2 linked regions of the Daphnia pulex genome follow. Each later gene encodes a partner of the first gene's protein in a complex. Links are inferred from orthologs where the notes say so. Each region holds a gene or a part of one and is shown on either strand. Other genes may lie near its edges. The genes, in order: polycomb protein Sfmbt-like and polycomb protein SCMH1-like.

Region 1 (9,544 bases):
TATCTTGTTTAGATAACGTTATACTATACTAGTTTTAGATGCTATTTCAAAGTCGCTATAAATAACCTCAAAATCATAAATAAACCACTTACCACTATAAGGGTGACAATCGTCACTGCTAATCCAGCCACCAGATGTAAATTGTAGGTTTGTTGTTTTGCACTGTTATACTCAGCCCAAGAGCCAGCGGGAACAGGCATTTCATTCATGGTGGCATTTTTAATGTGTGATACGTACGAGCCATTACGAACCGGCTGTGAAGTCAAACGTCCTGCAAAAATTCATATCAATCATTAGTTTAAGCACAGTAAATTAACAATAACAGCCATCTTAAATAACTGTAACGTACATTGATTACACAAGGACATACAAGCGGCCAAAATACCATCTCACGTTTGTTGAACAGGCTCTTTGAAAAGCAAAATTTTAACACAATATTTTCTTACCAGCTTGGGCGATAACTTTAGTAAATTGACGCATTTTGGAATAGATGAATCGTCGAGAAACTTAAGTCACGTAGCAAAATCCCAAGAACTTTAGTACGACTGCTGTACCCGATCACCAGTGCTGCCACCTAGATTCGGCAACGGTCCAATCGCTTACAACGTTGACGGATTGGCCCTATTTTACACAGCTACGGCGGACACGGACCGACGGCCGGGCCGGCAGGGCGACGGGCCAGTGCAGTTATCACATTGGGCAACTTTGCATGGCTATAATAAGACAACTGAAAGATTCACCTCTATTTATAGTTACATTTGCGGTCAAATCATAAGTAAGCAACAAACTGATTTTCAGTAAACAGTTACTTCAACAACAAAAGTTTTTTTTTTTTAATTAAATTTTACTCAAAAGTGTGTGCAAATATTGCTGACGGAATTGGTATTGCGAGCTGCGTTCTTCGATCAATCCTTTTCTTTTTGTAGTTTTTTTCTTCCTAAATGAATCTGGCCAACATGACATTTTCTACCATTTTGTTTCCCTATTTCCGCTAGTCGGGGCCAATTTATTTCGTAATTGACATAAAAATACACGATCTCGAGACATTTTACAGAGGGCTGGATGGAAGAATAAGAAGTGAAAGAGTTCATTTTGTTTCTTGTCAACAAATCAATTTGCATGCGGTCTCGTAAGATTTGGCAGTTTCACGTCAACTGAACATCATACGGAATAACCGAACAAGAGGGAATGGATTATTGCGTTCATCGTCAGTTATTATTAAATATGCCGTTTGCTAGAGCTTGTTAAATATTGATTGTGGGTTTCTCCGCGTAGGATAATAACGACAAAGCTCCTCGCTGCATCTTAGTGCGACTATCGTTCATTATTATTTTCTAACAGAGGCTTACACAACTTTGTTAAAACGGTTCAGCTTTCGCCGACTAAAATACTATGACGCATATCGAAACTGGGAAATCCGATTGAATGATTTGTTTTCACAAAAGGAAACACTAGTTCAATATCACATTTTCAAATAAATGTTTAACTGCTAAGCACCTTAGGCGAAATCAGTCCTGTCATGCAAATTCAATACTGTGCAACACATCTATTTCATTGAATTTTGAGTTCTCGCGAGTATTGATCGGAGGAAACTAACTTTATGTAACCTTTTGTCGTCAATATTTCTAAATTCCTTTTTCCTGGAAACGCTTCGCCAAAGTGGATGCCTATTAGCCACCACTGCCAAAAGATGATAGAAAAACAAAAACAAGATTAAATCACAAAAAGAACACTTTTTTATTTTAACTTCAAGTGTGCCACCAAAAATGTTTCTTTTTTAAAACAAAAAAGATCGTTTGGTTGTTAGTAAGAAATTGTTTGTGTTACCACGACCAACCGATAGGGAACCCGTTTTTTTTCCAATGGTTCTTACGTTGGGTTCGATCATGGGCGAGGTGTGCAGGTGTTAATTAAGACGGGTGAGTCGTGTCGAAAGAGACACGCGCTACATATACAAAAAAACGGCAAGTGGAATCAAGTGAAGAATCACAAAAAATTCCATCTTTGCTATCAACTCAACTGAAGCTGGCAGGGAAGTAAAGAGTCTTTAAAGAACCGATTGAAGGGCGAGGGATGAAGAGGAATTAAGACCGTTTGTAGTCATTTTCTAGGTTAAATGAAACAAAGAAGAGAGTTGGGACCTGGTGACTAATTACTAGCATTCTGCTGACGAGAACCGGGGCCAACTTTTGATTTGAGTTGACTGACAAGGTCAAAAATCTTGAGCGAGGGACCCAGTTTCATGTTGGTAAGTTGTAACACCTGGTCCTTGCTCATCGACAAGAGTCCTCGTCCGTCCACCGACTGTGAAGAAAATAAAAATGACTACACTCTGCAATCTTTCAAATTAAAAAATGTTATACTCACTGCATTAGTAAATGTATCGCAATAGGCAGTGTAGTCGTTGACTCGTAAAAACTGAGCCACGTCTTGGGTAGTCCATTCGAGGGGTGATACACCGGACAATGCTTCTCTTCGAAGGGCCGCAGAAATGTCAATCAGCCTAGGGATGCGCTTGCCATTGTAATCGTTCGATTCTCCGGTTGCGTGGCTCTCTGCTTTCGGGACGGTTGCTGAAGTTGGCGGCATGGATCTGTTAGGACTTCCAAAACTCGAATTGCTCATTTCCGCATCGTCAGGTTCTGTTCTTCGTCTGGTAGACCGCTGGTGGGGGTTTTGAATGGCAGTCGGAGCCTCGTCGGCCGGTGATGGACAGTTTTGATTCTGACCACCACGTGAGCGAAGACTCCTTGGGCTTTCCTGAGATTTCTTAGTTGACAAGGGAATGAGTTTTGCAGTTTTCCCGCGCACTGCTGCCTTTGAAGAATCCGCTGATGGCGATCTTTCCCTTTTGTTAACCACGGCATTTGGTGCAGCAGTTGAGGTAGAGATATTTTGAGACCGGCCGCCGCCCCTGGCACCTCCTCTGGATTTTCCTCTTCCACCTCGGCCGGGCTTCCTTCCCTTCTTTACGACTGGCGCCACAACTACTAGAAGAATTGACTCAGTTAAAAAGTAAAACTTAAAACAACAATTAAATCATACCAGGAGCAATAGGAGTTTCGAGGCGGTAGCCGGCCAACTCGCACCAACCGACTGGGTAGATCTCTGGTGAAGATATATCCATCCACTGATCAAAGTCATCACTCCAACCGTCAAAGTGGATACGAACTAGCCGGCCAGCGATTTGTGCAATCGTAGCAACGCAAACCAGGCGAGGATCCATCAAGTCGGCCGCTTCGACCCGCATGCCTACGCGTAACTGCGGCATGTTCTCGTCTCGCCCGCCAAAAAGGGATTCCGGTGCTGGAGTGGCTTTATTCTGTCGTAAGTAGTCTCCCCAGCGAAAGCGACCTTCGTAGTCTTCCGGCGGTTTCAAAGTGATTGCGTTCGCCTCGCAGAATCCAGGCGGAGCGATACAAGCCGAACTCGAATGATAACAGAACTCGCCGGGATCTTCAACCTGATCATCGCCGGCATCAGCCTCTTGTCGATCGATGCGGATCATCAAGTATCCTTGCCGCAAGACCTTGACAACACTCGCAACGCAGATGTGGTCCAAGTTGAGAGGATCCACCGCTTCCAGCTTCATGCCTTCTTTAAACTTGAGCGCTCCATTGCCTTGTGTCGGTTTCATTTCGTTGAATAGTTCGCTGGTGGCATCATTAGGAAAAAAGACTTTTTTGGCGCATCGCTCCAGGTAGGCTGGCAAAGCATCGATGTGGTGACCAACAGATTGCGACCAGCCTACAGGGTGGATCAGGCTAGATTCTTCGTGACACCAGAATCCCATTTCATCGGGAACCGAACCTTCGTAACGGAGGAGCAACCGACGACCAACGATCATATCGATGACGGCTACTTTCACCTGTCAAAAATACAAAAACTGTTACATCAGAAAAGAGTTGGCATCACAGTCGACAATGATTCACTTACGCTGGATAGGCGATTGCGATCAATAAGCTCGACGGTCATTCCGAGTCGGAAGCGAGATCTACAGGCTTCAAGTACCCGAACGTGAAACTGGTTGGGCAATGAACGGGCCCCCGTCAATCGTTTCACCAAGAACTCTCGCCACTCGGTGTATTTGTCCTAGTGAAATTAAATTGACATGAATATCAACCGAATAGCTTGTTGGAAGAGATTTAATGAGTTTCGTACCTGGATAGTTCGTGGTGGTATCAGTGGTTTCCCTTTAGAGGCACACCAACCGACAGGGTGGACGTCTTCAGCTGCCAGATTGACCCAAAAATCTTTGGAATCGTCATTGCCGAAGCCTTCGTAGCGAAGCAAGGCCTTGTAACCCATCAGGCTGATGACAGATGCCACCCAATACGATTGTGGATCACTGTTGGCTGTTGCTTGCCGGGTGTCAGTGTTTTCAACCTCGACCTGGAAATTGAATCGCAACAAACGTACAATCGTCTTTTATTCTTTCTTAATTGAGTCCGTTTTATTCAATATACCTTCATGCCGACGCTGACATCTGATGCCCAAGTATCACATAAAGGAGCATGACGGAAGCAGGAAATGGGTGGTGTTACAAAGCCCGGTTCAGTCAGCATTTCCACCCAATCGAATCCATACCTGGAAAAAAACAGAACAAGCATTCCTTTTACTTTCGACTGATTTTGAAAACAAAAATAGAGTGATAATTTCGTCGGACTTGTCTTTGTCTGATCCAGGTACTTCTTTGGCCAAGAGCAGCCGTTTTTTGTTGGAATACACATGAACATCTTCTGCTGGTTGGCCCAGCTTCCTGTTGACAGGCTGCTGCCCGGGTTGTAAATTAAGACGTTTCTCTATAAATGCAATAAAAGTATGAAACACGATGTCAGTATAGATTATTAATGTGATGATGAATTACCTGAATTATTGGAACTCATGTGCGGGCTTTCGTTGAAACTTTTAGCACACGCTTGACTACAAAATCTCCTTTCCTTGGTGTAGAATGAATGTTTAACGCCAATTGCTCCACACTTTTCACAAACTGCCATCCCCTCTTTACGAATAGGGATCATATCCAAGTCGGAATCCTTCTGGAAGGCTATGGGTGTTTTAAGAATTAGACCATCGACAGGTTTGATTTTCCTGTTTGGGAAAAATAAGTTGTCGGTTATACATGTTGTTTTCACAATGAAAGAGATTGCATGTTTACTTGGACCCGAGATGATTGGCATCTTCCCCATCAGAATCTTCATAATGTGAATGGGACACCAGGTGAAATTCAGAAGATTTGTTGGTTGCCCTAAAACGTCAAAATATTAACATTGTCACACATGCCAGACATGGACAAACAGGCCTACTCACTCCTCTATACCAGGTGTTCGCTTGTCAACTGAACTGACACCATTAGACGCAAGACCCATTCCCACTTAGAAATCACAGAAAGCTTATCTCACTGAATTTGATGAAAGTGTACAATATATTTGTTGAAATATCAACTTGAAATGCTTTTCTTCAAATGCAAAAGGTTTGAATAGTTGAAAATGAAGTCAGAAAATTGTAAAAATAACCAAAACTGCAGAGTGATAGTCTCTGCACAGTTCTTGTCAATATGACTAGCAGTTACGTTAAAGCGAAACGTATTTTTTGGCGGGTACTCACGACCGCTAAAAGGAGATAGGGAATTTTGAATTACTAATCACCAACCGCCGCCAACGGTCAAATACTAAGGAAGTAGAAACAGCCACTGACTTTTTCAAAAAATATATATACTAACAATTTTCTCTCTGACAAATGGCGACAAACGGAGACGCTTTCTTTGACAACGAAGGAAACAACAGGCCAAAAGACCCTGATCAACGATTTTTTTGGTAAATCCAAATCACAAAAATAATGAACGACAACAAATGAATTGGCCAATGCAATGCGTTGGCGTCCAACGGGAGGCACTAGTCGTACCTTAATTTCGATGTGTCAAACGGCCAAAATTTTAAAGACGACGGGGCGTGACAACTGGCTGGACTGTCAACGATATTATTTACCTGTCCAACTAAAAGAACGTTGACGAGATGCTATGGTTCCTCGAGAAAAAACAAAGGGAAAACCACCCCTTCAAAATTAAAAATTTCCTCCAAATAAAAAAAGACCGGAAACAACACAACAAGGAGGGGGGGGGTCGATAATCAATTTGCCCCTAGAAAACAGCGTTGCCACTACTTTAAAGTTTTCCTTTTTTTTTAAATAAATTGAATTCCTAATTTCCTACATGTTATTTTCACCATTTCAAGGTATAAAAAAGTTAGACATACTTTTTCCATCCGAAAGCACTATAGGGAAAATAACCAACAAGTCAAAACCTTTTGGTTTCGCTGGGTCACGCAAAAGCTCTTTGAATAATAAATGTTTCCTACAGGGAAAACAAAATAATTAGGAGACACACAAAAAAATAAAAATAAAAAGTTCAATCGACCGCAGAAACGAATAAGTAACGTTATATTTTGTCTTTCTTCCTCCCAGAAACCAAGAGTAATAAGAAAATATACATGCTCCGATATTATACATGTTGGAAAGTAGTAGTATAGATTGTTGGAAGAAATGGCCCCCGTTGGATAAGAAATAATATAAAAGAACGACTTGTATAACGGAACCCAGTGAGGATTGCGGTTTAGCATTTTTCTCGTTACGATTCTTTTCGCCGTTGGTTTTTCTTCTTTTTAACGAGTCATTGTCAACAGTTCGCAATCGTAGAGGAGAATACGGTTACGTCATTTGTGTTGTCTGATTTTTTTACATGTTCACCCGCGAACCGCGTCAGCAAATCTAACATTGTTTCTTATCCGTTTCACTTGCGATTCCCGCAGCTGTAAATGTACATAATAATCAACGGTTAGTTTGACATAACCAGAGAGTGTCTGAACGGGATACTGTGGCCGTGATTGACAACAACCAATAACAAAAAAAAAGGGAACGCAGTAGAGTGTATTATTATTATTTTATTTGTTTTGGATCAACAAGTATGGGGATGAAATTCAACTATACGGCAAAAGCTTTTTGTTTCATTTGAGGGGGATGAACCACGTTCAATTTCTCGGTTTCAATGGTATAATAAGAATGTGATTTTTACGATTGCAATTGCCAACGGGATTTTGACTCTCGGCCGGGGGTTCTCTCCGCTTATTCTTTTTGGTTTAATGAGGGAACGCGCGGTCACGATTCACCTGAAGCTTTTTTCTTATTTTTTCTCAGCAGAGAATACGTATGTTCCTCCGGCTCTCTGAGAGAGTGTCGTGAAGGAAACACAGAGAACCGCGCGAGAGTTATTAACGTTATTCTTTCGTTTTTTTCTGTAATAGCAAAAAGAAGGTTCTTGAAGCCATAATGGCATCAGCGTATTGCCGAGTTATATGTTATAATTTGAGCTTATTTTCGACGTCGGGGTTTATTTTCGTACATTATTTCTTTTCTTCCTTTCTCCGATTTTTGTGCCGCTAGGATGTGCAGTTGTTATTACACAGCTCGACGATGTAGTATATACGTCCCGGCCCGTTATACGCGATTGCAGAACAACCGCTCGCTCGCCATCGTAACAATAGACATTTGAAGGAAGATAGACCTATAACTAATGCCCGCCAACGTGTACGTACCAATTGAAACGCGCATAAGGGAAACACAAACAAGCGCACAGCCAATCGTCTAAAAGCTTGTGGAGAACAAAATTCAGGTTTGAAATCATTCCAGATCCTTGCGTGCGCTTGCGTGCGCGGATTGAATGTGAAAATGCAAATATACCGGACGCACTTATCACGTTCAATCCCGAATCACATCAGTCGAGAAAACTATTCGAACAATTTCATTTTTTGTTGTTTCAAAAATCTTTGTCACGTCATTATTTCGCCGCGATGTGCAATATAAAAAAAAGATAATAAATAACGAGAGTCTCGAATGATTATTTTTAAAAACTGTATAGAGAATTAAATATAGAACAAACATATTTTCACCGTCGTACATCAAACTGGGTTGTGTGAGTGCGTGTGTTCTTATATACGTGAATGAAAGAGAGAGAGATAGGGGCATCAGATGGAATAAGAGCGTATTACACAACAGCATGTGGGAATATTATATATACCGAATATATATATATATTTATATTTTATATGTATATATATATAAAAAAAAGGAAATGATATAAATTAGTTTTCATTTCATCATTCGGGGTTATTTCTTTTTTTTTTATCCTTTTTTTTAACTTGTCGGGTTGGTGAACTTTTTTCTTTGGGACATTTGGGAGAGACGAATGTGTTTAAAATGCGATGAAGAATGAGAAATATTTCGTAGAAAATGAAAAACAACACATTTGAATAAAAGGCAAACACACACAAAAATCACCTGGGGAACAAAACAAAACAAAAACATTTCAAAATGTCGAAAAATATATAAGGGAGAAAAGGACGGAAAAGGTTTGAACTCGTGAGAATAAGAAGATCAAAAAATCGGATTGTTCTTGATCATTATTTAAAAAATATTTGGTAATTATATGTACACACGGTGTGATGATATAATAACAAACTAAAGCAAAAAAATCTCAATTTCTTAAAATAGGTTCTCAAAAGATTTTCTCGATTGTTTTTTTTTTCTGGGGGGAAAATATATGAAACTCGTGAGCGCGAAATTGTGAAAATTATTATTCGTGTAAACATATATAATTCTATGGATGGATGGGTTTGAGAACCGTTCGAGTCCGAATATCCTATTTCAAAACTATAAAAATCAAAAAGTTTATCATCATCCCTTTCCATCGGTTGTTTGGTTTTCTTTTCCCTCTTTAAAAAATAAAATTTTAAAAATTCCTCTGAAGAATTGAGAGAAGAGAAAAGAAGCGTGACACTGTCTCATGGTTTTCAAGCCAGATCTTCCTCGCTGCGGGGGATGTCAAACATTTCGGCGAAGAGCGGGGGCAGGTGAATGAGCAAACTCCATCGGCGACGGTACCAGTCCAGCTGCGACTGATGTCGGTGGCCAATGGCCCTCAGCTCGACAATCTTCTGGAGAACGGCGTTGATCAGGCCCGGGTCGCTGGCGTGATTTCTCAACAACTTAGAAATTCAAATGAGAAAAGAAGAAAAAAAAGATGATGAAGTAAAATCGAAATGGATGCGCATCAAATAGAGAAAAGAGCGGAGGACGGACGCACCTGTAATCGAAGAGCGTCGGTGATGCGTTCCTGGTACTGGGCGATGCCCTTGGCGTCGTTAATGACGGGCCGATCGGGCGATAGGAGAACGGCGGCCGAAAAAAGAGCCATTTCACTATCGTTCATCGACATTTGGTTCAAGCCTTCGGCGAATCCCATGACGGTCTGGATGAAATCAGCCTGGAGAAAAAAGGTCAAATTTTTTCGTATCATTTCAAATTCACTTTTATTTTATTTTTTATAAATCAATTACGTCAAAGATGAGGTCCATCTGTTGCTTGGACAGGGTCACACCGTCCGTCAATGTCATCGTTCCTTCCTGGCTGTTGATCAGTCGACTGACGTGGCCCAGCCACACTTCGAAAAATCCAATCTTGATCAGGATCAACTGATCGTCCTGACTCAACT
Region 2 (9,627 bases), on another chromosome or scaffold:
AACCAGTAGACGAAGATTGATCGTTGGGTCAGACCTTTAGAAGCTCTGTTAACATAAATATTGCATATGTATTTCAACCCGCTCGCTCGTTCACCTCCGTAGTTTTGTTCTTTTTTTTTAAACATTACTAAATCATATTTAGTACCCAATTATTCGCTTTGATTTGATTTACCCGTTCCTGCCTGTCTTTAAATTAATCTGAGAACGAATTAATACGCAATTCGCTTTTTCTGTCGTCGAAGTCTGAATGCTCTTATCAACTAATCTTTTTTTTTAAAATTCATTAATTGCTCGCTCTTTCGCTCATACTAATTTTTTTTTTGCTTTATCGTATAAAATCCTGTACTAGCAAAATGATTAATTTCCACATTTAAATATGTTCTTTTAGGAGGCACGGCCAAGCATTTTGGACGTAGACGTAGAGGGTAAAGGTACGTAAATATTTCTTGTAAATTCGATATTTCTATTTAATTTAACCGATTTAAATATTTTATAGCCATGCTAAGAATGTTGAATCGTGGACCAGTTTCAGAAGGAATGCGAGGTAAAATAAGAGTTAAACTAATTGTCCTTCTGAGTTTTATTTTTTTCTTTACTTACTTACCTTATAATTTGTTTGAAATTAATTTCATTCTCAGAAAACCCAACATCGGATGATCCCGAAGAGAAAGAGCTGTATGTGTCATCGGTCTCATCTCAATAACTCGTCACCGATGAGTTTTAGATCCATTCCATTTCTTAGTCAAAACAATTTATTGCTCCGTTGTCTTTGAAGATAATAAAGCCAAAATATAATTATTAGAATATGCAGTTTAAACAAGTTTCTTTATTATTAATTTTTGCGTTTTCTGGTGAAGCCTTATTGCCTTTTAATTGTCCTACCCGGCAATCGTGAATGTTTAAGGTTTTTATACATATTGATTTTTTAATTGAATGTATTGTGAGCACAAAAGCAAACCTTAATTGATCTCATGTGCACCTAATTTCAGGAAATATGAACTGTACGTTAAAATTTAAAATGAAAAGTTTCATATAAAATGAGGGACGACGATTCACTCAAAGCATGGTTAAAAATACATTAACCAAAACAACAAATCGAATGTAATACAAGCGAAGTTATAGGACACGTATCGAGAAATGGCCAGAGGCCCCGTCCCCTACTTTCGTGATTATCACAGACGATTCGGATCAAATATATATTTTCTATATATGTTAGTTGGATTTCGCAAGGAAAGGTTCAAAGGTCTCTGGCAGCCTAGCATTTTTTGTCCAATGTCGATAGGCTCTTAGGCTGCCACTGCCCTCAGCATTCGCTTTCAAATTGATAGATGACGGCGCCCTTTCAGTCGGTTTATAGAGTTACAAATCTTAAGAGAAGGGCCTAATTTCAGCCCCATATACTTCATCATCATTTCCGAGGTGAGAAGAAGTAGGGCCTTTCCGTCAATTTCCTGCCACACACGGATGAAATAATGCTTTAGTAAAATATTTGCAGTAATGAAATAATAAATAAAAATCGAATTACATGTTTTTGAAAGAGTTGAGAGTGTACGTTTAGACCTGAATCAACAGAAGTCAGATAGCGCATCACGTCATCGACCGACCATTCAGCAGGATCGGATGGTGTACAGGGCGCCTTCGTAGTCGCAAGGGCTGTCAACGCATTGATCTCAGCTTCATGACTAGTAGTAGATGTGGCTCTTTGTAGATCAGGCCGTTGTAACTCGGGGCTCGATTCAGTTTTAAGTGTTGTTGCTCTCCCGTTCAGCGCTTTAGTGGTTAAACAACTCTCGGCCGGCAGAATGTGCGGAGGAGAAACAGTTTCGCGTCTGCTATTGATAGGGTCAGTTTTGGGGCTAGTCATCATTTTCTTTTTTGAACTGACGGGAGTCTTGATGTATTCTCGAGCTAAGATAAATCCGTGCTGTAGCAATTACTGAAATAATATCGGACAGTAGATTGATACCTTTCCGTTTGTTTGCACGACAGGTGTCTGGCTTGATTGAATGATCGGCCAAATTGGCGACGCATTTTTTACAATTAACATCGGCGACTGTACTAATCAAATTTTCACAATAACCGAGATCTTCGCACAACAGTTCCAGGTAGGTTTCAAGCCCCACTAAATCGTCAACAGGAGGCAAACGAAGCGTATGAACTACATTTTCATATTTAGCTAACGAAAAGAAAACAGTGTCAGAGAGGCAAATTGAAATTTGGATTAAATGATTAATTGTTCTTACCACGAATGATAACGTCTCCGTCACCTTGACGTGTCCGGAGGATTGAGAAGGTTTGTTTGGTTTGTAGCGCGGCGTCAACTAAACCCTGAACGGTGTCCCGCAGAACTTGGCTCGGCGTTCCAGGTCCAATTGATCTTTTTAGCTGTCGTATTTTATTGGGATCCAAGTGAGATCCGCAGTTGCACGAGTGGTTGACATAGATGCTCACTGAAAATGTTTAAAACATATCCATTTTAAATAGGGCGGGAAAAAGTCATCAAAACATAAGAAAATCTTACCAATTGCTGCTTCCCTTTCAATCGAGGACGTATCCGGTTCAGAAACGACGACGCAAGGTTCTGTTTTAGCTCCAGTATCTGAGGACGAAATCGCCAACTTTCCAACTTCTGTCGGCAATTTATCTATTCCCGATGACGAAGATTGTAAAGGAGGAGGAGGAGGTATGTTGAGAACGCGAGATTTGAATCGGCTTCCAGTCGTAAGAGCAACTAAGAAATTGAAAAGGTTCGAATTACTTAATGAAAAGAAAAATATTTAAATTAAGCAAGCGGAGATTACATTTCTGCCCGGGAGGTTGAAGTGGGTGTCCAACCATTGCACAAAACCCAACAGGAAAAATGTCTCTAGAATCATATCGGCACCAGTAATCAAAAGCGCCTTTCCATCCATCAAATGTAACAAAAATACTATCATTGTTTACAGCACCTAATTAAAAAGAAATATGTCAGATTGAGTTTCAATACTACGATTTAGGTTGAACTAATTAACGCTGCCGGACTAGGTCATACCAACTGTGGCAGCACAAATTAAATGTGGATTTTTGCGATCAACAGCTTCAAGTTTTTGGCCGATTCGAAACATGTTGTATCGGGGTGAAAGAGGCTCTTTTTTAAAGTAGCAGCTTGGTGCAGTTTCAGCTCCAGTGAGAGTTTTCGAGAGGAATGTACGCCAAGATGAGGCATTCATCCGGAAACCTAAAGGAGGCTGCAACATTCCCCCACTGCTTTCACAGTGTCCTGATAAACATCCAGAGTAATTATTGATTCTGTACGGCTATCAGTATCTAGTTGTGAGACCCTTACCTATTGGATGTATGTCATTGGAATCAACCAATCTCCAGAAATCATTTTTGTTATCAGAACCATCGAGACGTAAGCGGAGCCGGGGGCCAATTACTGCGACAACTGTAGCAATGCAAGTTGAAGTCAAATTACGTGGATCTTGCGCTTCTAGCTTGACTCCAAAGAGAAATTCATTGGTTGGTGGCTTTGCGTGCTGTTTCCGAAATTCGTCCGTAAAAAAATAATTGCAATAATGAATAATAAATAGTAAGCCTAATAGATGAAGTCTGAATGGTAAAAATAAATTCAACAATATACCTGTTTAAAACAAACTGGGGGAGCTGCTAAACTTCCAGTTTCTGCTAGATAATCCTCCCATGCAAAAGTGTAAGGGTTGACACTCAATAATAAAGGTGATTCAGAATGAACTGCTGGTGATGCAAGTGACACATTGGGACTGGTCTGTAAACTTTCCACTGAAGATGAGGGTTTCATTTGTTTACTCAGTTCTCTCTTTTTTAATTTTAGGTAACACTTTTCGCTACAGAAATCTCTTGTAGACAAGTTCACAAGGCTTTGAAATGGTAAGCCAGAAATTGCTTCTCCACACTGAAAACACACTCCTTTTCTGAATTCTGATAAACAAGTTGCAGAGCAAAAAATGTGTCTTCCATTCTTCAGTGGCAGAACATATAGGTTGGGTTTTTCTGTTTGGCTACACCAACCACAGGGTAAAATACTTCCTTCAGCCACCACTGGAGTACCATTGACTTTGCTGTGCTCTTTAACAAAAAGATAGTTTTTAAGTAACATTGTAAAGTGCATTGATGCTATAAAATAACCAGAAAACATACGAAATAATGACTGATGGCTCATTCTGCTTTCAAATGATGAATTCTCAGCACCTCACACTCCTCACAGCCAAGACAATTATTGAATTTCCAAAGCCACCTAAATATATTCAGTTATAAAGGACAGTTGTACATGACTCAAAACAATTAGAAATCCTCAAAAACAAACCTGAATTTGATTGATGACAGAAGCATGGAAGTATGAAAACAGAAATGGAGATCTGTGAGATCGATTCTCAACTGTCAGTTGCTCAGTGCTGCGGTTGTTTCTAACTCAAGGCAACGATGATCTCGTGGAAAATAGAATCTTTCTTGAACTAGTACGTTAAAATAACTTCGATAAAACTTATTAAATTATGTTAAAATGTTTTTATGTACGTCTTCCATATGCCGACGCGACCGTTGTTTTTCACACCAACCGTTGTGCAGAAATTCGATACAATTGATTTGAGAAAATCACGAATCGTTAACTATCGATATAATTTCAGATCGATAACTGACTTTTTATATAATTATTATTTTAAAAATACTCATTAGTCATTATGTTTTATATTTGCCAGTTCGGACTGGTTCGGACATTATAAAAGAAAGCATTGTCTGTTTTTCTCTGGTAAAGAGTCAATATAATCTACGACAGAAAACATCAGTGATCGAACCGCCATTACTTTAATTTCCCACGCTAATAATTCTGTTTATATAAAATATGCTGTAAACTGCAAATCATTCGCCTTCTAAATATTTAACGCAGTTTGGAAATAGATTTAGATTGTTTACGTAAGAATCGACATGGAATCGATAAGACTTTTTATTTATTTGCGTTTTAATTTGGCAACACTATCACACACGCTTTTATGATATGCATTTTGCTTAGATCTGATGAATATTAGAATACAAAGAAAGTAGTGTGTTGTGTTGATAAATGATAGTAACATTATTTTAATGAAAACTTCGTCGTTTACTGTATCCGTATCTGTGTATTTTAATTTTTAGAGTTTAAGACTTGTTTGAATTCAAACCGATGAACGTCGGCACTCTCATGTGTCATATAGCCTGTAGTCTAGGCTACCGGAGATTGGCAATCCGCCATAATCCATTGATATTCTTTCAAAATATCTTTGCGGGTTTGTAGGAGTTGGCGTTTAATTAATGATTCGTCATCCTCTTTCATTATCAGAATGATTCCAAATGCTTTTAGACCTTTTTCAGGATTACGGCAAATGGATAGTGTACGATTGCGGCTGGATTGTCTCAGGTAACATTTTCGAATGGCGAGTTTCTGCTGTGAAATTGCACTGATGGAAAATACTGACTCAGTCTTGACACTGTTATTTCGATCTTCAACGCTTAACATGTCAGTAATATATCGTTCAGTGACGCTAACAAATTTTGATGCTATATTTTCGATAGAAAGTGATCCTTGCTTGACTTTTTCAATGCGGTTGAGCAGGTCTCTTATAATAGCATGTTTCATGTCGGTATGATTAAGTGATGTTTCCGTATTCCGGTGACTATTGCCATTGATTCGAGTGATTTCCATTAGCGAAAAGCTCCCCATAACAGTTATTTTACTCTCGTATGCTAACTTGGAAATAAAATTTGTCAGTTTGTCCCAACTCTTTTTGTGTTGGGTGAATTGGTGCAAGCTTTCCATCAGGATTTCGTTGAAAGTCGTCCCCTCATTTAAAGCATTGGCTTTTTCCATGACTTCGAATATTTTCTTTAAGAATGGCTCCGTTCGTTGCCACCATATTTTCGTTGTCTGTTCATTAAGCTCAAGAATACTTGACGCTATTTTGACTAGTTCCAATTTCCGATCGCGTTGATGTTCATGCATAATAGTGCTCATATTTGGGTTATGATTTAGATCTTTAAATAATAAGTTGTTTTCTTGATTATTTTTTTGAATCAGTTTGATGTGTCGATGGGCAATCAAAGAAGCCAGATCATCCATTTCTTTTGAACCGGGGCAATTGAGCTCTGTTTTCGGATGTTTCAAGTTCGTTGTACTGGGGGGTTTTATTTTAGTCGCCAATTCCTTAAAAGTGGTGGCGACCTTTTTTATTAAATCGCAGTCGCTTTGATTCAGGATGCCCAGCGTTTGATTGAGCTTCTTCATCAACTCTTCTACTTCATCATCGCCGTTAGTCTGACACTTTTTCGTAAGTTGATGCCCAGTTGAAAGCAAATCAAACAGCGGCAAGTAGTTTCCTTTTAGACAATCATCCTCATTATAGGCAATCTCTTGAAACAAATACCTCCAATTTCCAGCCCGAAAGAAAAATTCTGAACGACGCTCATCTTCGGACAAATTTTTGCGTTGCCTCTTAATCGATTTCGAGGGGTTTTGTCGACTGATGTTATTGGTGTTAAAGCAGCGGTTGTCAAGCCAAGTTTCCATGTAGATATTCGGCTGCTTGTTTTCGAAATTCCTCCACATCTTGTCCAGTAGCCAATTTTTTTCTTGGTGCCAAACAATCTCATCCTCCCTTGACTGTTTGGCTGCAATGACTGTTTTGTTCAATGGTCGAACCTCGACGAACTTCTCTTTTAGCCTGGCATTACATTCTCGTATGATTTCAGTTATCGATTCAATGACCATTTGGTAACTCTGGGCTACTTCATTAGACATTTCTTTGCTTCGCTCCGCCAACTCGATCAGTGGTACCAACGTTTCCATTAGTAGATTGCCAGTAATTTCTTGTTGACGAGAACTGGTGGACGTAAGGTAGTTGGTAGCGTTCATGGCGTGATTTTGAATTTGAACCTTGTTTTTTTGAATTTCCTTCATATTGGCGTAAGCTTTGCGAAAAGACAAGTGGGCACGTCGAATGATTGGCCGCAGTGCGGAACGAAAGTACTCTGTGTCGCCCGTTGAAGTAGTGTTTGTAATATCTGTGTAAAGGGTGGCAATGGACCATTCCAAAAGACTACCAATAGCACCGGTAGTCAACAAGTCATTCCAGTTGTAAAAGACTTGCATAAAGAGCGCAAGTGATTCGTTTAGACTCTTTCCGTCAAAAAGAAGTGCCCCTTTTTCTTTCATCTTCATTTCACACGATACTGCAATTAAAGAAAACAAAAATATTGGGTTAGTTTATTTTTATATGTTGGTATTGAAAAATCCACGAGCGAAAACTGGCGAAAACGCTATTTGTGTGTACGTATGTGTGCTTAGTTTTTTCTCGCTTAACCGACAAATTTTATTTTTACATAACTATAGCTACTCAAGATAAACAATACATGCAATAAAATTCGAAAAAATTTAATAGTCATATGTTTTATTATACTTAATGCATTAAGTAAAAAAAATTCTTTCCCATGGGCAAGATGAAGCAACAATACAGATGAGAGATTTTTCAGCATGAAACGAACCTAATTCCGAATTTTTTTACTTGCCATTTGAATGTGTTTTTGTCAAATCAGCTGCTGATAAACCGGAAGTAAGCGTTACTTCAGAATGAATATTTATCACTAATAAAATAAGGATAAGGCAATATCTGTATTTAACAGCCATATTTCATTCGCAATTCTTAACTTTATTTCAGAAGGCAGACGCAGACGACTGTTGAACTGGCGCTTACTGCCAAGTGAGCACATAAAAAACGTTCAAATATGATCGTCGCGATTTTTTTTTTAAATTATTATTCAGACCATAACACGGACCTTGTCAGCTTTGACACGAACGGTATCTGAACTAACATATCATTTTTCATCACACATAGAGAAAAGGCGTGAACTTATGGTAAAACTACAATCCTCCATTGCTACATATTATTTAAAATGTCCAGAACAATTTTTTAACACAGAAAAAATTGCTATAGATCTTGAACGACAAACTTTCTGCCGTATGGTTTCGAGTGCGTGATCAGCAAATCAAAATCGTGATTCATCAACAAAACTTATTACGACTACATTTTGAACCGCTGAAAAAACAGTAGTTTTTCTCATCAAAATGTCCATTTGGACCAATGCGCAAAACAACGTTGTGTTATAAATTATGGCAGTAAGCGCACAATCAATTAATCAAAAATTTATTATTTAATAGTTATTTTCCATTACGATGACAACTCAGTTATTTTAGCGCCGATAAGGCAATAAGTCAGTCATAAGGATTCCATCCAGCACTCGAATTTACTACGACGTAGTAATACTAGCTAGCCTACATATTTGCCTTTTTGGAACCTTCGTGATCTTTTTCTTTATCTACGAAATAGGAGTTAGGTTACAGGTCATCATTATACTGATAAGAGTTCATCATGAAGACTACAATTTTTAAAAACACCTCGGGGTGAATCGGTTCTAATCACAGATTGCGCGTATTTAGTTCGCCACTCCCTGAATAGTGAATATTGGATGACAAGAAAACAACTTTAACCTTATTTTTATAAGCACCAGAGAACATTTTCAAACGTAGTACGATTCCACCATCTCAACATTTCGGATAGTATAGCCTACATATTCTGCCACAGATGAACCTTCCATTGTTCACAATTTTACTAGCCTACTGACCGATCGTATATTATAATGAGACGTCAAGACTTACAACTGAATTGGTTGTATTTTTTTATTATACCGATGTTGTGCGCATTTATGGTTTCGGCATCAATCGGAGAGGTTTTGTCATCTAGTTCTGCTGGTGAGTCACCCTTTTATTGTTACGAGATTTCTTGATCTCATTAACACAACGGCAAATTACCTTTCCAGCAAGTTACCTTTTACTATTTAAATTATTTGTCTTATTATGGACGATTATGAATCATAAACTTTAAACATAAAAAAATGCTTATGTTGGATTATTTTATGCGACAGATTCAAACCAGGATTCAGTAGCTTTGCGATGCGCTGATCGTTTACAACAAATGGTGGAGGCCGTCAGTCCTGCCTTTACCCACGCACTAGTTCACTTCGATCGTTTAACTGATTTGATCCTTGATGCAACAATGTCGATGAAAGAGCATCTCAGAAAAAATGCGTACTTTTCAGAATTGCCAATTCAAAGAGCTATTTATTGGATGTTCGATTCACTCAATGAAGCACATATTTCTACTCTTTATCATTTGAAACGTTACGACGACAATTATATTCGGTTATCTCGCGAAATAAGAGATACAGAGGGTATGATTAAAGTAGACAACGATCTACTGCAGTCTCTGAAGATTAACATTTCATGGTGGGCGGAAAAATGTGAAGAGTTTCAAAAAAATAAGAAGAATTTGGACATAAAAGTGCAGGATGCCGTCAACCGTGTTAAAAGAGCGGAAATGGAAATCGAAAAAAAGAAGACAAATAGAAACGGATGGATTGTGGCCGCCGTTTTCACTGTTGGTATAGCTACTGCTTAATTTTTTTTTAATATGTGAAAAAGGATTTTAATATATTAATTTATTTTACCAGGATTAGCTACCCCTGGTCTCATACACAACGAAAACAAACTTCAAAAAGCGAAATTGAAGCGCAAGGTTTACCAGGATA

What was found.
Region 2: the proteins of polycomb protein Sfmbt-like (region 1) and polycomb protein SCMH1-like are in contact, whole or in part, in a crystal structure (PDB 5J8Y), measured with the Drosophila melanogaster proteins. The link is inferred for Daphnia pulex from reciprocal best matches to the Drosophila melanogaster genes Sfmbt and Scm. Residues at the interface, in NP_001260432.1 of Drosophila melanogaster: Lys1176, Asp1177, Met1180, Met1185, Lys1186, Val1187, Gly1188, Pro1189, Leu1191, Lys1192, Asp1195; in NP_001247006.1 of Drosophila melanogaster: Lys831, His832, Glu833, Ile834, Asp835, Lys837, Ala838, Leu841, Leu842, Met846, Lys849, Tyr850, Met851.

Annotation. Positions count from the first base shown.
Region 1 is NC_060022.1:3,563,345-3,572,888, reverse strand, and holds polycomb protein Sfmbt-like, read right to left. Parts: upstream 5,717-9,544; 5' UTR 5,370-5,716; coding exon 5,311-5,369; intron 5,249-5,310; coding exon 5,159-5,248; intron 5,092-5,158; coding exon 4,868-5,091; intron 4,803-4,867; coding exon 4,667-4,802; intron 4,588-4,666; coding exon 4,467-4,587; intron 4,393-4,466; coding exon 4,162-4,392; intron 4,093-4,161; coding exon 3,937-4,092; intron 3,869-3,936; coding exon 3,046-3,868; intron 2,991-3,045; coding exon 2,368-2,990; intron 2,305-2,367; coding exon 2,149-2,304; 3' UTR 1,719-2,148; downstream 1-1,718. Other genes in the region: ecdysone-induced protein 78C-like, read right to left, coding at 8,844-9,038, 9,137-9,316, 9,390-9,544. UniProt on the Drosophila melanogaster protein: Polycomb group (PcG) protein that binds to the Polycomb response elements (PREs) found in the regulatory regions of many genes.
Region 2 is NC_060019.1:4,228,506-4,238,132, reverse strand, and holds polycomb protein SCMH1-like, read right to left. Parts: upstream 4,628-9,627; 5' UTR 4,534-4,627; intron 4,473-4,533; 5' UTR 4,325-4,472; intron 4,256-4,324; 5' UTR 4,181-4,255; coding exon 4,159-4,180; intron 4,087-4,158; coding exon 3,623-4,086; intron 3,519-3,622; coding exon 3,326-3,518; intron 3,260-3,325; coding exon 3,032-3,259; intron 2,949-3,031; coding exon 2,802-2,948; intron 2,732-2,801; coding exon 2,522-2,731; intron 2,451-2,521; coding exon 2,244-2,450; intron 2,177-2,243; coding exon 1,967-2,176; intron 1,909-1,966; coding exon 1,526-1,908; intron 1,452-1,525; coding exon 1,317-1,451; 3' UTR 918-1,316; downstream 1-917. Other genes in the region: MTOR-associated protein MEAK7-like, read left to right, coding at 389-431, 497-544, 639-703; uncharacterized protein LOC124189850, read right to left, coding at 5,213-7,215, 7,552-7,669; uncharacterized protein LOC124189851, read left to right, coding at 8,680-8,791, 8,965-9,480, 9,550-9,627. UniProt on the Drosophila melanogaster protein: Polycomb group (PcG) protein. PcG proteins act by forming multiprotein complexes, which are required to maintain the transcriptionally repressive state of homeotic genes throughout development.